Sus scrofa: one gene and its partner. The protein of the gene in region 1 purifies or fractionates together with the protein of each later gene. This does not show direct contact. Links are inferred from orthologs where the notes say so. Each region holds a gene or a part of one and is shown on either strand. Other genes may lie near its edges.

The links. Proteins that work in one complex are often made in the same cells at the same time.
Region 2: the proteins of CPSF3 (region 1) and CSTF2 purify together in Homo sapiens (affinity purification with mass spectrometry; 3 studies listed by BioGRID and IntAct, with this or other methods). This does not show direct contact. The link is inferred for Sus scrofa from reciprocal best matches to the Homo sapiens genes CPSF3 and CSTF2.

The regions. Positions count from the first base shown.
Region 1 is NC_010445.4:126,867,399-126,872,900, forward strand, and holds the end of CPSF3 (cleavage and polyadenylation specificity factor subunit 3), read right to left. Parts: intron 4,592-5,502; coding exon 4,495-4,591; intron 1,750-4,494; coding exon 1,648-1,749; 3' UTR 1,121-1,647; downstream 1-1,120. UniProt on the Homo sapiens protein: Component of the cleavage and polyadenylation specificity factor (CPSF) complex that plays a key role in pre-mRNA 3'-end formation, recognizing the AAUAAA signal sequence and interacting with poly(A) polymerase and other factors to bring about cleavage and poly(A) addition.
Region 2 is NC_010461.5:82,507,497-82,512,146, reverse strand, and holds the start of CSTF2 (cleavage stimulation factor subunit 2), read right to left. Parts: upstream 3,409-4,650; 5' UTR 3,309-3,408; coding exon 3,251-3,308; intron 2,171-3,250; coding exon 2,092-2,170; intron 1,609-2,091; coding exon 1,439-1,608; intron 658-1,438; coding exon 521-657; intron 60-520; coding exon 1-59. UniProt on the Homo sapiens protein: One of the multiple factors required for polyadenylation and 3'-end cleavage of mammalian pre-mRNAs. This subunit is directly involved in the binding to pre-mRNAs.

The DNA of each region.
Region 1 (5,502 bases):
CTGAAGAAATTTCAGCAGGGGAGGCTTGAGGGCAGGTCTGCTACTTTAGGAATCAAATGTAGGCAGAGAAGGGAGGCTGCGGCAGGAACCAGAGGGGACAAGATGATTTGGTGTCAGAGGCACACTGGAGGTGAGATGGGCAGATTGAACAGCAGTTTAGAATCCTTAAGTGAAACTGGTTGCCTCAGGGAGCGGGACTCCGAAAGGACTCGTCCTTTCTGCTGTGTATAACCTGTGTTGTAAAGATATCACAAGTGTGTATTTTTTGTAACTTAAAAATGTTTTAGGAGTTACCGTTGTGGTGCAGTGGCAATGAATCCAACTAGGAACCATGATCCCTGGCCTTGCTCAGTGGGTTAAGGATCCCGAGTTGCTGTGGCTGTGGTGTAGGCCGGCAGCAACAGCTCTGGTTCGACCCCTAGCCTGGGAACCTCCATATGCCGAGGGTACGGCCCTAAAAAGACAAAAAAAAAAAAAAAAAAAAAAAGTTTTAAAATCCATCATAACAGGAGTTCCCATCGTGGCTCAGCGGAAACAAATCCAACTCGTATCCATGAGGTTGCGTGTTCGATCCCTGACCTCGCTCAGCAGGTTAAGGATGGGGCGTTGCCCTGAGCTGTGGTGTAGGTCGCAGACGAGGCTCGTATCTGGTGTGGCTGTGGCTGTGGTGTAGGCCGACGGCCGTAGCTCTGATTAGACCGCTAGCCTGGGAACTTCCATATGCCGCAGGTGTGGCCCTAAGAAGCAAAAATAAATAAAATCAAATCTATCATAACAAAATCTTAAATGGCACTTACAGAAGGTGACCCTCAGACTTTTGGTTTAGGCCAAACACTAAGTAGGAATCTTTTTTTTTTTTTTTTTGACTTTTCACAGCCAGGCTGTGAAGGCGAACCTGCCCCAGGGCCTGCTTGTTCCGTTCCCGCTGAGGGAGCAGGTGGAGCCTTTCACTGAAGCAGACGCCGAAGACCCCTCCCGCCCCCACCCCCGGCAGAGTCGATCCGGTCTCTCAGCACAAGACCAGACACCCGTGTCCAGGCCCTTGCAAGTCTGAGCTACTCGTACTTGAGAAAACTGGACTGATGATTAATACACACATAAGACAACTCAACAACATATGAGCATCCTTGAACCTGAATCATAAAAAGCATCTTTTGAATATCTGAACTGAATGTGGATCTTACATAAAGAAAACATTATTGAATCTTGAAAATTCTAATTTTACAAACATATAAACTAAGGAATTTGGAAAGACTATCGGGAGGGAAGAAACAGAAAAGGGGCTTAAGACGTTGAAAAGCGCTAATTATTAATCCAAATTCAGATCATGGATATGAAAGCTCCGGCCATCATGCATGTCCTTTCCCTAAAGAGGACCAGCCCTTCTGCTCCCGCAGTGTGGGGGGGTCTTCACGGTGTCATGGGTCCTGCATCCGTCCCTGGAGCAGACTCGGCAGCCGGCAGTTGAAGGAGCAGTCCTCAATGATGGACAAATGAGCTGGTCCCGTAGTGGTATCTAAGGGTTGGACTAAAGGCCCTTTGTCGTCAAGAGTAAAGAGGCCCCCAGGGAAATGACTGTCTTTTATTTGAAGTAACAGTAGAGCCGAGCATGACACGACGTTTGAACATCTACAGAGGCGTGAGGGGTCAGGGCACTGGCGTGAGGGCCTCATACAGCCTCTGGGCAGCCAGCTCCACCATTTCTCGGAGGGACTCGTCGTCTTCACTCCCTTCTTCACATTCCACGGTCTGAAAGTGAGAGCACAAACATGCCTGGCAGCCCAAGTGTCTGGAGTGGATTTTTTTTCTTTTTACAACTGCACCTGTGGCAGAGGGAGGTTCCCAGGCTAGGGGTCGAATCAGAGGTGCAGCTGCCGGCCTACACCACAGCCACAGCAACGCTGGATCGGGATCGGAGCCACATCTGCAACCTATGCAGGATCCTTATCCCACTGAACGAGGCCAAGAATTGAACCTGCATCCTCACAGAGACTACGTCAGCTTCTTAACCTGCTGAGCCCTGATGGGAACTCCTGTCTAGAATTACTATGTTAAAGAGAAACTAACGCTCTTTAAGAACAATCATTTCCCGGAGTTCCCATCATGGCTCAGCGGTAACAAACCTGACTGGTATCCATGAGGTTGCGGGTTTGACCCCTGGCCTCGCTCAGTGGGTTAAGGATCCCTGTTGCCGAGAAGCTGTGATGTAGGTTGCCGATGTGGCTTGGATCCCATGTTGTTATGGCTGTGGCGTAGGCCAGGGTATATAGCTCTGATTCGACCCTGGCCAGGGAACTTCCATATACCGCAGATGTGGGCCCCCCGCCCCCAAAAAGAACAATCATTTGCTGAAGGGGTAGGATTCTTGATGATCAGAAGCCAGAACTGCTGCCCCGCACAGCTGTGGGCATGCACCCGGATGCCGAGATTCCTGACGCCACTGAGTCAGACCAGGGATTAATTATGGGAAAAAAAAAAGAATAAAGGGAATAAAGAATATGTTTACTTCAAAGCCCATGTTTTGATCTAGTAAATGACACTCCAGGGAAGTCATGCAACACAAATTATTTAGCAAGAACTGGATATGGTCATCAACTCAACAAAAACTTTGTTTTAAAAAAAGGTTATCACACCATAAATATTCCTCACATAAAAATTTAGGGAAGAAAAGCTAACACCCTTAATTCTATGATAACTATTGTTGACATTTCAGTGCATAAACCTCTAGATTTCTGGCTATATATATATATATTTCTTTAAAACAAAGATGGGATAATTCGTATTTGCTATCTTGTAACTTTTTTCCTCACTCAATAATGTAATGGACAACTCTGCACATTAATAAATCTACATCATTGGAGTTCCCATCGTGGCTCAGCAGTTAACAAACCCGACTGGCATCCATGAGGACGCGGGTTCGACCCTTGGCCTTGCTCAGTGGGTTAAGGATCCGGCATTGCCTCAGGCTGTGGTGTAGGTCACAGATGCGGCTTGGATCCTGAGTTGCTGTGGCTCTGGCGTAGGCGGCTACAGTGCCAATTTGACCCCTAGCTGGGAACCTCCATATGCCACAGGTGTGGCCCTAAAAAGACAAAGAAACCCCCCCAAAAAACCCTGCATCACCGTTCTCAGTAGCTGTGTTGAGCGTATTCCGTGACGAAGGGCACAGCAGACCCAGTGTTTACTCAGTTACCATCTCCTACTCTTGGATATTTAGGTCTCTTGGAGTTTTGCTATAATCGATGCTAAAATATCGATCTATCTATCTCCTCACTTCCCTAATCATGTTCTTTGGTGAAAGCCAGCAAATGGCATCGTGCATACAGGTATGTACTTTGAAGGCTTTGGACGCCAATCAGCAAACGGCGCTGCAGCCAGAACGCCCTGCCCGCCCTACAACCTCCTCCCTGGCCCGACGGAACCGCGGGCAGCGGTGTCCCTCCTCGCTCACCACCAGCGGGTCCCGGCACTCTTTTTACTCGGTGCCGACAGAAACACAGAAAGAGTGATATTTTATACTTTCAGTCTGTGTTTCCTTTAACTCTCAGTGGATCTGATCTGACACATTTGTTTCATGTGCTTGTTGGCTGTATTTCTTCTCTAGCGAATTACTTGTTAGTGTTCTTGGCTTATTCTTCTATTGAGGTAAAATAAACCGAGTGTTTGCTCAAAACAGCTATACGGTCAAAGAATACATGAACAAAATCCCAAACATGTGCTACTGGTTTAGCAGAACTGTTCTACTCTTCAAAAGCCACCCCCCCACACCCCGAGGAGGAGACACATATTCACTTATGCTCATGAAATAATTCCTAAAGGCCTGCAGGCCCCGCACACACGAATCCCACTGTTTGCAAAAGCCACTTGGATCTTGCTGTGAGCAGGAGAGCCGCTTCTCTGGAAAACCTGCATCGCATGGAGGCCAAAGTAGAGAAAGCCGAGGCGGATTGAGGAATACTATGGAAATGGAGCCCGGGGGAGTCAGCGAGACGTGGGAAAGGAACCCTCTGCAGCGACAGGGAAAACCACTTAGGGCAGAACGAGAAGTAAAAGTATGGATGTAAAACCTGACGGCAGAGGAGTTCCCGTGATGGCGCAGTGGTTAACGAATCCAACTAGGAACCATGAGGTTGCGGGTTCAATCCCTGGCCTTGCTCAGTGGGTTAAGGATCCGCTGTTGCCGTGAACTGTGGTGTAGGTCGAAGACGCCGCTCAGATCCTGCGTTGCTGTGGCTCTGGCGTAGGCCAGTGGCTACGGCTCTGATTGGACCCCTAGCCTGGGAACCTCCATATGCCGCGGGAGCGGCCCAAAGAAATAGCAAAAAGACAAAAAGACAAAAAAAAAAAAAAAAAAAAAAAACCTGACGACAGAAACACAGTCTATCTTTAAATCTAGGAAATGCCCAAATGCAAAAGTAAACTGCAAACCAGATTATTTTTTGCGTTCACTTTATCCCCCAGTGCCTTGCAATGCAGGAAGGAACAGCTACATACCCGCGTCTCCAAGTTTATGTTGGCAGTTTTTCCATCCACAGTGACACTAAGAACAGATCCGTCCTTTACGCTAACACAGTCCTCTCCAAATATGTCCCTTAGGATAAGCAAAGGGGCGGCATTAGTGGAAACTGTTCCATAAATACGTAAAGATTTGGGGAATAATAATATTTGCGATAGGCCCTCGTTCTGAGGTAGAGTCCTTATATCTACTCCTGAAATGCACTTACTTATTTTCGCACATTTTATTAATTTTGTAAGGCAGGAAATACATACAGCTATCATTTATTAAGAACAAGCGTCACACGTGGCACTTCATATCCGCTCTCGTCACCTATAATAACTGTGGCAGGGAGTCCTTTAGGCACGAGGCAGTGAGGGCACCTGCTTGGAGCCCCTGGCTCGTGGGCACCCGTGTGGGCGACGTGTCCAGGCCTCTAGGTCCACGGGCCGCCAGCCCTTTAACCCGCTCCGAAGGCCTCCTTCCGGTTAACCCTGGGCTCACGGAGCATCTTCTCCGTGCCGGGTGCGCTGGGCCCCCGGGGAGGTGGAAAATCCCGAGACGCTGCCTCCGTCACCGAAGAGCGACGGTCGGTCGATCCGTTTCCACACTTGTCCCCATCAATGACAGAGACACCTGCAACCCACAGCCGAAGCAGCGGGCGGGACGCAGGCGAGGAATGGTAGTCAGTGACTCGAAAAACTCCCCAGACACGGGTCAGCTTGACAGTCGAGCACTGAAAAAAGCTATATTCCAGGGCAGGGGTCGGGGGAGAAGGGACATTAACTGCCTGCTCTTCCGGGCAGTCATGGGAATGATACGTTTGAATAAACTGGCTGGGCAACCTTGTACTAAGGGAAAATACTTTAACTACAGAAATGTATTCAAAAGAACAAGCCTCATTTTTATGCAACCAGTTGTCGGTTTGTTAAAGAAATTTATCCACATATAATCCTAAGGATTTAAAGAGCTGGAGTGACAGCTGCAGTTTTCAGACTGGGACCGAC
Region 2 (4,650 bases), on another chromosome or scaffold:
AGTTGAGGGTTCTGAAGCAACATGTTCCGTGCTTCCTGGGGACTATTCTGGACACAGAGCTGAGAAGATAAAGAGATCAGTCATCCGGTTCAATTCATCAATCAGGTTATTACTTAGAAACTGATCATGATTTAGAGCTATTCGCATCTGAGAAATGTAACATTCAAGAGGCTTTTTAAGGTATTAATTTTTACATAGCACACAAAATCTTGGTCATGGCAGGCAATAGAAGGAAGAAGGCACTTCAAATATCATGATACCATCATTTAGGAAAAAAGTCGTATTTTAAAATCTAGATTTGATATCTATGGGCCACAAAATCCCAGCCAGATTGTGTAGGTGTGTTTGTGGACAAAAAATGGAAAGTACTCTTCATGAAATGTACACTATACACCGAAGGTGTAAGAAATGTTGGTCAACAGGCACACTTTCTGTTTCTACCAGGGAATCATTCATATCAATGAAATCCTTGAAAATTTGATGTGATTTGATTTATCCATAAGCTAGTGCCTCCTCCTACCTTCATTTGTTTCATCAGTTCAAACATCTGCTCTGGTGGAAGACTGGCAACTGCTTTGCTAATGGATTCAGGGGCATCCTCGGGACTGATGGTCTCTCCATAAGGTGACTCAATGACAGGGGCACCAGTGCCAAGACCTGATTGGGAAGAAAGTACAAGAAAGTTAAGGAGGCAGTATAAAGAGCTAAACGATTTCAAGTATCTACTCTTTACAGAGTTGCTGTAAGACCCTGTTGATAACTTTAAATTTTCTGGAGCTGAGAAATAAGTGATTTTCAAGTCTCATATTTCTGTGGAGGAAAGTGACAGAGTGTATCTTCTGCTCTCAGAGGAAAGCTGGCACCAGGGTCACAGAAGTGAACAATATTAACTTAAATTAGGGGCTAGGCATATCCATTTCCTTTTACAAATCATTTCATAAGCAAAATGTTTCTTTTTTTTTTTTTTACAATTTTTTTTAATTGTTATTTCCCCAATACAATTTTTTTTTTCTACTGTGACCCAGTTAAAAGGGTTTAATTCTAATTTCAAAATGGAATTTCTGGATTCTGTTACTTCATGAAAAAAAAAGCCACGAGAATGCCTTGGTATCCTTACCAGTTATAGATCTGGTAACATAATTATAGGAGTGGCGGACACTAATGACAGACATAGTTAGCACTACTAACGGCTTCCTGAGCCTGTAATTCATCTTCAGCTGGAAATCAATTCCTTGGTAACGGAAGGTCTTAAGTCAACTTTACTTATTTCTCAAAGGTGTACACTGCCCTAATGCAGGCAGCTCTCAGATGGCTCAAATAAAGATGTTGTGTAGCTGAAAACCATTTCAGCAGATGCTAAAACATATGATTATGTGGCAAATCTCCATTGTTACATCTTTACTAACTCATGTTGCATACAGCTTGGGTTTTTACTCACTCTTCAGCTCCTCTTTGTTCTTTTCGCTGGCAGCATTGTCCACTCGAAGTGCTCTCCCACTGAATTCACGCCCATTTAGGTTTCGCATGGCACTAAGTGCTGTCTCCTGGTCTTGGTATTCACAGAAGCCATAACCCTTTGGTTTTCCTGTCTCCCTATCATATACCAACCTGGAGAGCAGAACCAAGTATCAGGCATGAATGTTATATACATGCAGGTTTTCCACTAACATTGCTGTGTTCTAATGTGGTTTACTTTAAGACAACCTTACTGCTCCGTGTCACTGAAATATTTTTTACACATCTTTCTAAATGGGAAAAAAAGGTAACTTTTAGGAGTTATCTTGTGGCACAGTGGGTTAAGGATCCAATGTTGTCACTGCAGCAGTTTGGCTCACTGCTGTGGTGCAGATTGGATCCCTGGCCTGGGAACTTCCATATGCCAGGGGTGGGCCAAAAAAAAATGTATCTTTTAGCAAAAATGAATGTGAATTATATGGTGTGTGAATTACATCTCAATAAAGCTGTTACAAACAAAAAAGAATTTTTTTGTGCATGTGAAAAGTCACCAATAAAAACTTTGCCATTATTACTAGGGGCCAATTTGTGGTGATTTTTAAGAAATTTCCACCAAGGAGTAAAAGGGGATCTCACCTGAAACTAACAACAGGTCCAACCTCAGAAAAGATGTCCTTTAATTGCTCTTCAGTAGCCTCATAAGGAATGTTCCCCACTAAGGAAGGAAATAGATAATATATTAAAATTCTGAGTTTGTAATCTAGGTCTTTAGTAAGAAAACATTTACATATATCACTGAAAATGTAACAACTGGTTCAAACACAACGTTCCTCCAATCCCGATTCCATTGTACTCTCTTAGACAAGAATTCAATGGTGTCTACTGACTTTAATTACAAGAGGAATAAACCATTGAGACGAAACACAAAAGGTGTATGCCCTAAGTATTAGTTCTTAGACTGAACTGACAGGTGTTACATTTTTCTTAAGTATGGTGAAAATAAATATTTAGGCATTGGTATTTACCTGAAAGTCTGCAAGTCATAAATAACTGCTAAAAATGTCAATATTATAATATATGAAGCCGGCTCCTATGCCAGTATTTCCACATATACACACACTCAAAGGAGAATGACCACGAATGTCGTAGAGGATGTTTAAAAGTTATTCTGAACTATTTTGTCATGTCCCTCCCAAAAGGTGCTTTAAAATCGCCAGATACTTTTAAAAATCAACTTATTTCGGCCTGAAAGATTGCTCAGAATAGACTCGACCCTCTTTAAAATTTCTCTGAATAGGTCTTAATCATTCATTCATTCATTTATTTACAGTTCACCTTAAGACGCCGGGTGGCCACTACCACTAACGACGAACTAAAATGTGAAAAGCAGAGGATGAAAGCCCTTATGAGAGGGCGGGAAGTGGACAGAAAGATCTATATCCTCAGCATATAAACTGTATTCTGGGATAGGGGGTGAGTAGTACGGGGCAGTTGCCATGAGCCCTCGCTTCTATATAATAATTGAGGCTCACGAAAGGAAAACGCATAGAAGCTGAACGCTAGTTTAACTTCCTCGGCCACATCTTGCAAAGGCTTTGAGGCCTCGGGGGAAGGGGAGCATCACTTTGCCCACGAGCCCACCAAGCTGGCCGCCCGACAGGACAGGCAGGTCGAGCGCAAGCCCGACCCATCACCGGCTCCTGCAGCGATTCATGAGATGCAGGACGGCATTCCTCGGCGTTCCCTGTCTTTTTCTCTCCCTCCCGGACGCTTGGATCCACCGAATTCCTCTCACCGAACACCGAACGTAGCGAACGGTCCACCGCAGGGTCTCTCACAGTCAAACCCGCCATCGCTCTCTTCCGGGGGCTTCCGGTGCGCCAGAGCACACTTCCGTACGGCGCATGAGCCCAGCGCCGAACACGCTTCTGTACGGCGCGTGAGCCGGACGCTTCTGAGCCGGCCGGACGCAGGGCCCCTCCCCTGGCGTCATTTCGTCATAGCAGGCGCGCGTCACGTCCAGGAGAGCGCTAACTCCCTCCCGGCTGGGCTCCAGCCTGAGAAAAACTACGTTCCGTGTTGGAGCTCGGCTAATTTGAAGGCTTTTAGTCTGCATAATTCTTTATTGTTCATTATTTTCTTAAGCTAACGCAAGTAATTGTCGACCACAATAACGATGGCGGCGGCGGCGGCTTTACCATGGTAACCGGAAAGTCGATAAACGCTGCGTCCCTTTCCTTTTAGTTCCGCCCTGTTAGGGGAGGGGAAATGCTTGGCCCCGCCCCAGCGGGGTGCATTTTTATCCTTTCTCAAAAGCTCTGTACCCACTGAGGGAGATGAGGAAACAGAGTTACGGCACCCTAGAGAATGAGGGGCACCCAATGCCAAAGCGCCAACATACTGAGAAGATGGGGAGGTAAACACAGAACAGACCCCGTCTGCTCTCTTAGCCTGTGGACTTCACGTGCTTGATGGTGAGGGGGCGAGGCCGTGGAGGATGTTGGCTGGCAGGGCATCAGAAAACATTAGAACAGGAAATGTAATTGGCTAGTAGTACGCAATTAGCAACTAAGTCATGATTTGAGCTCAGCTTGCTTTCGCTCCAGAGGCTGAATGCTTAAGTGCCCACCAGTATAACTCAGAGAATTTAACGACGTAACTCTTTTCTTTCTTTGCCATTTTTGGTTAGAGCTTAAGATTTGGTAATAGTGGATTGATGGCCCAGAATAATGAACCGCTGAAGAATAGGTTGAGGCACTTAGCCAGGGCATGTTCTGCCGTCAGCCATTTGTGGAGAATGGACTGTTGATTCTTTCACTTCATTTAACCACCCCTACTGTTTATAAAAGAAGAGGTATGTAAGGGCTATTTCCTAAGCTCGTGGTGTTTTATAATTGGGTTTCAGTTATAGGCCATGTGCTTGTGACCCCATGCCTCATTGCTATTGTCTATGAGGGTCTTCCCTTCATTGCCATACTCCCAGAGTGACACATTTCTTTTGCCTCCAAGTTGTAGCAGAATGAGGACAGGAGGTATTGACTGTTACTGTTGTAGGTATTATGACTGAACCTCAATTAGAACAATGAAGTAGGTGCTGTATGAAGAGGTAGGGGAAAAACTAGGAAAGATGCATTTCTACATAAATGGGACTATTGTTTTTTGGGGCTTTGAGTAGAAGAGAAAGAGTATGTAGTG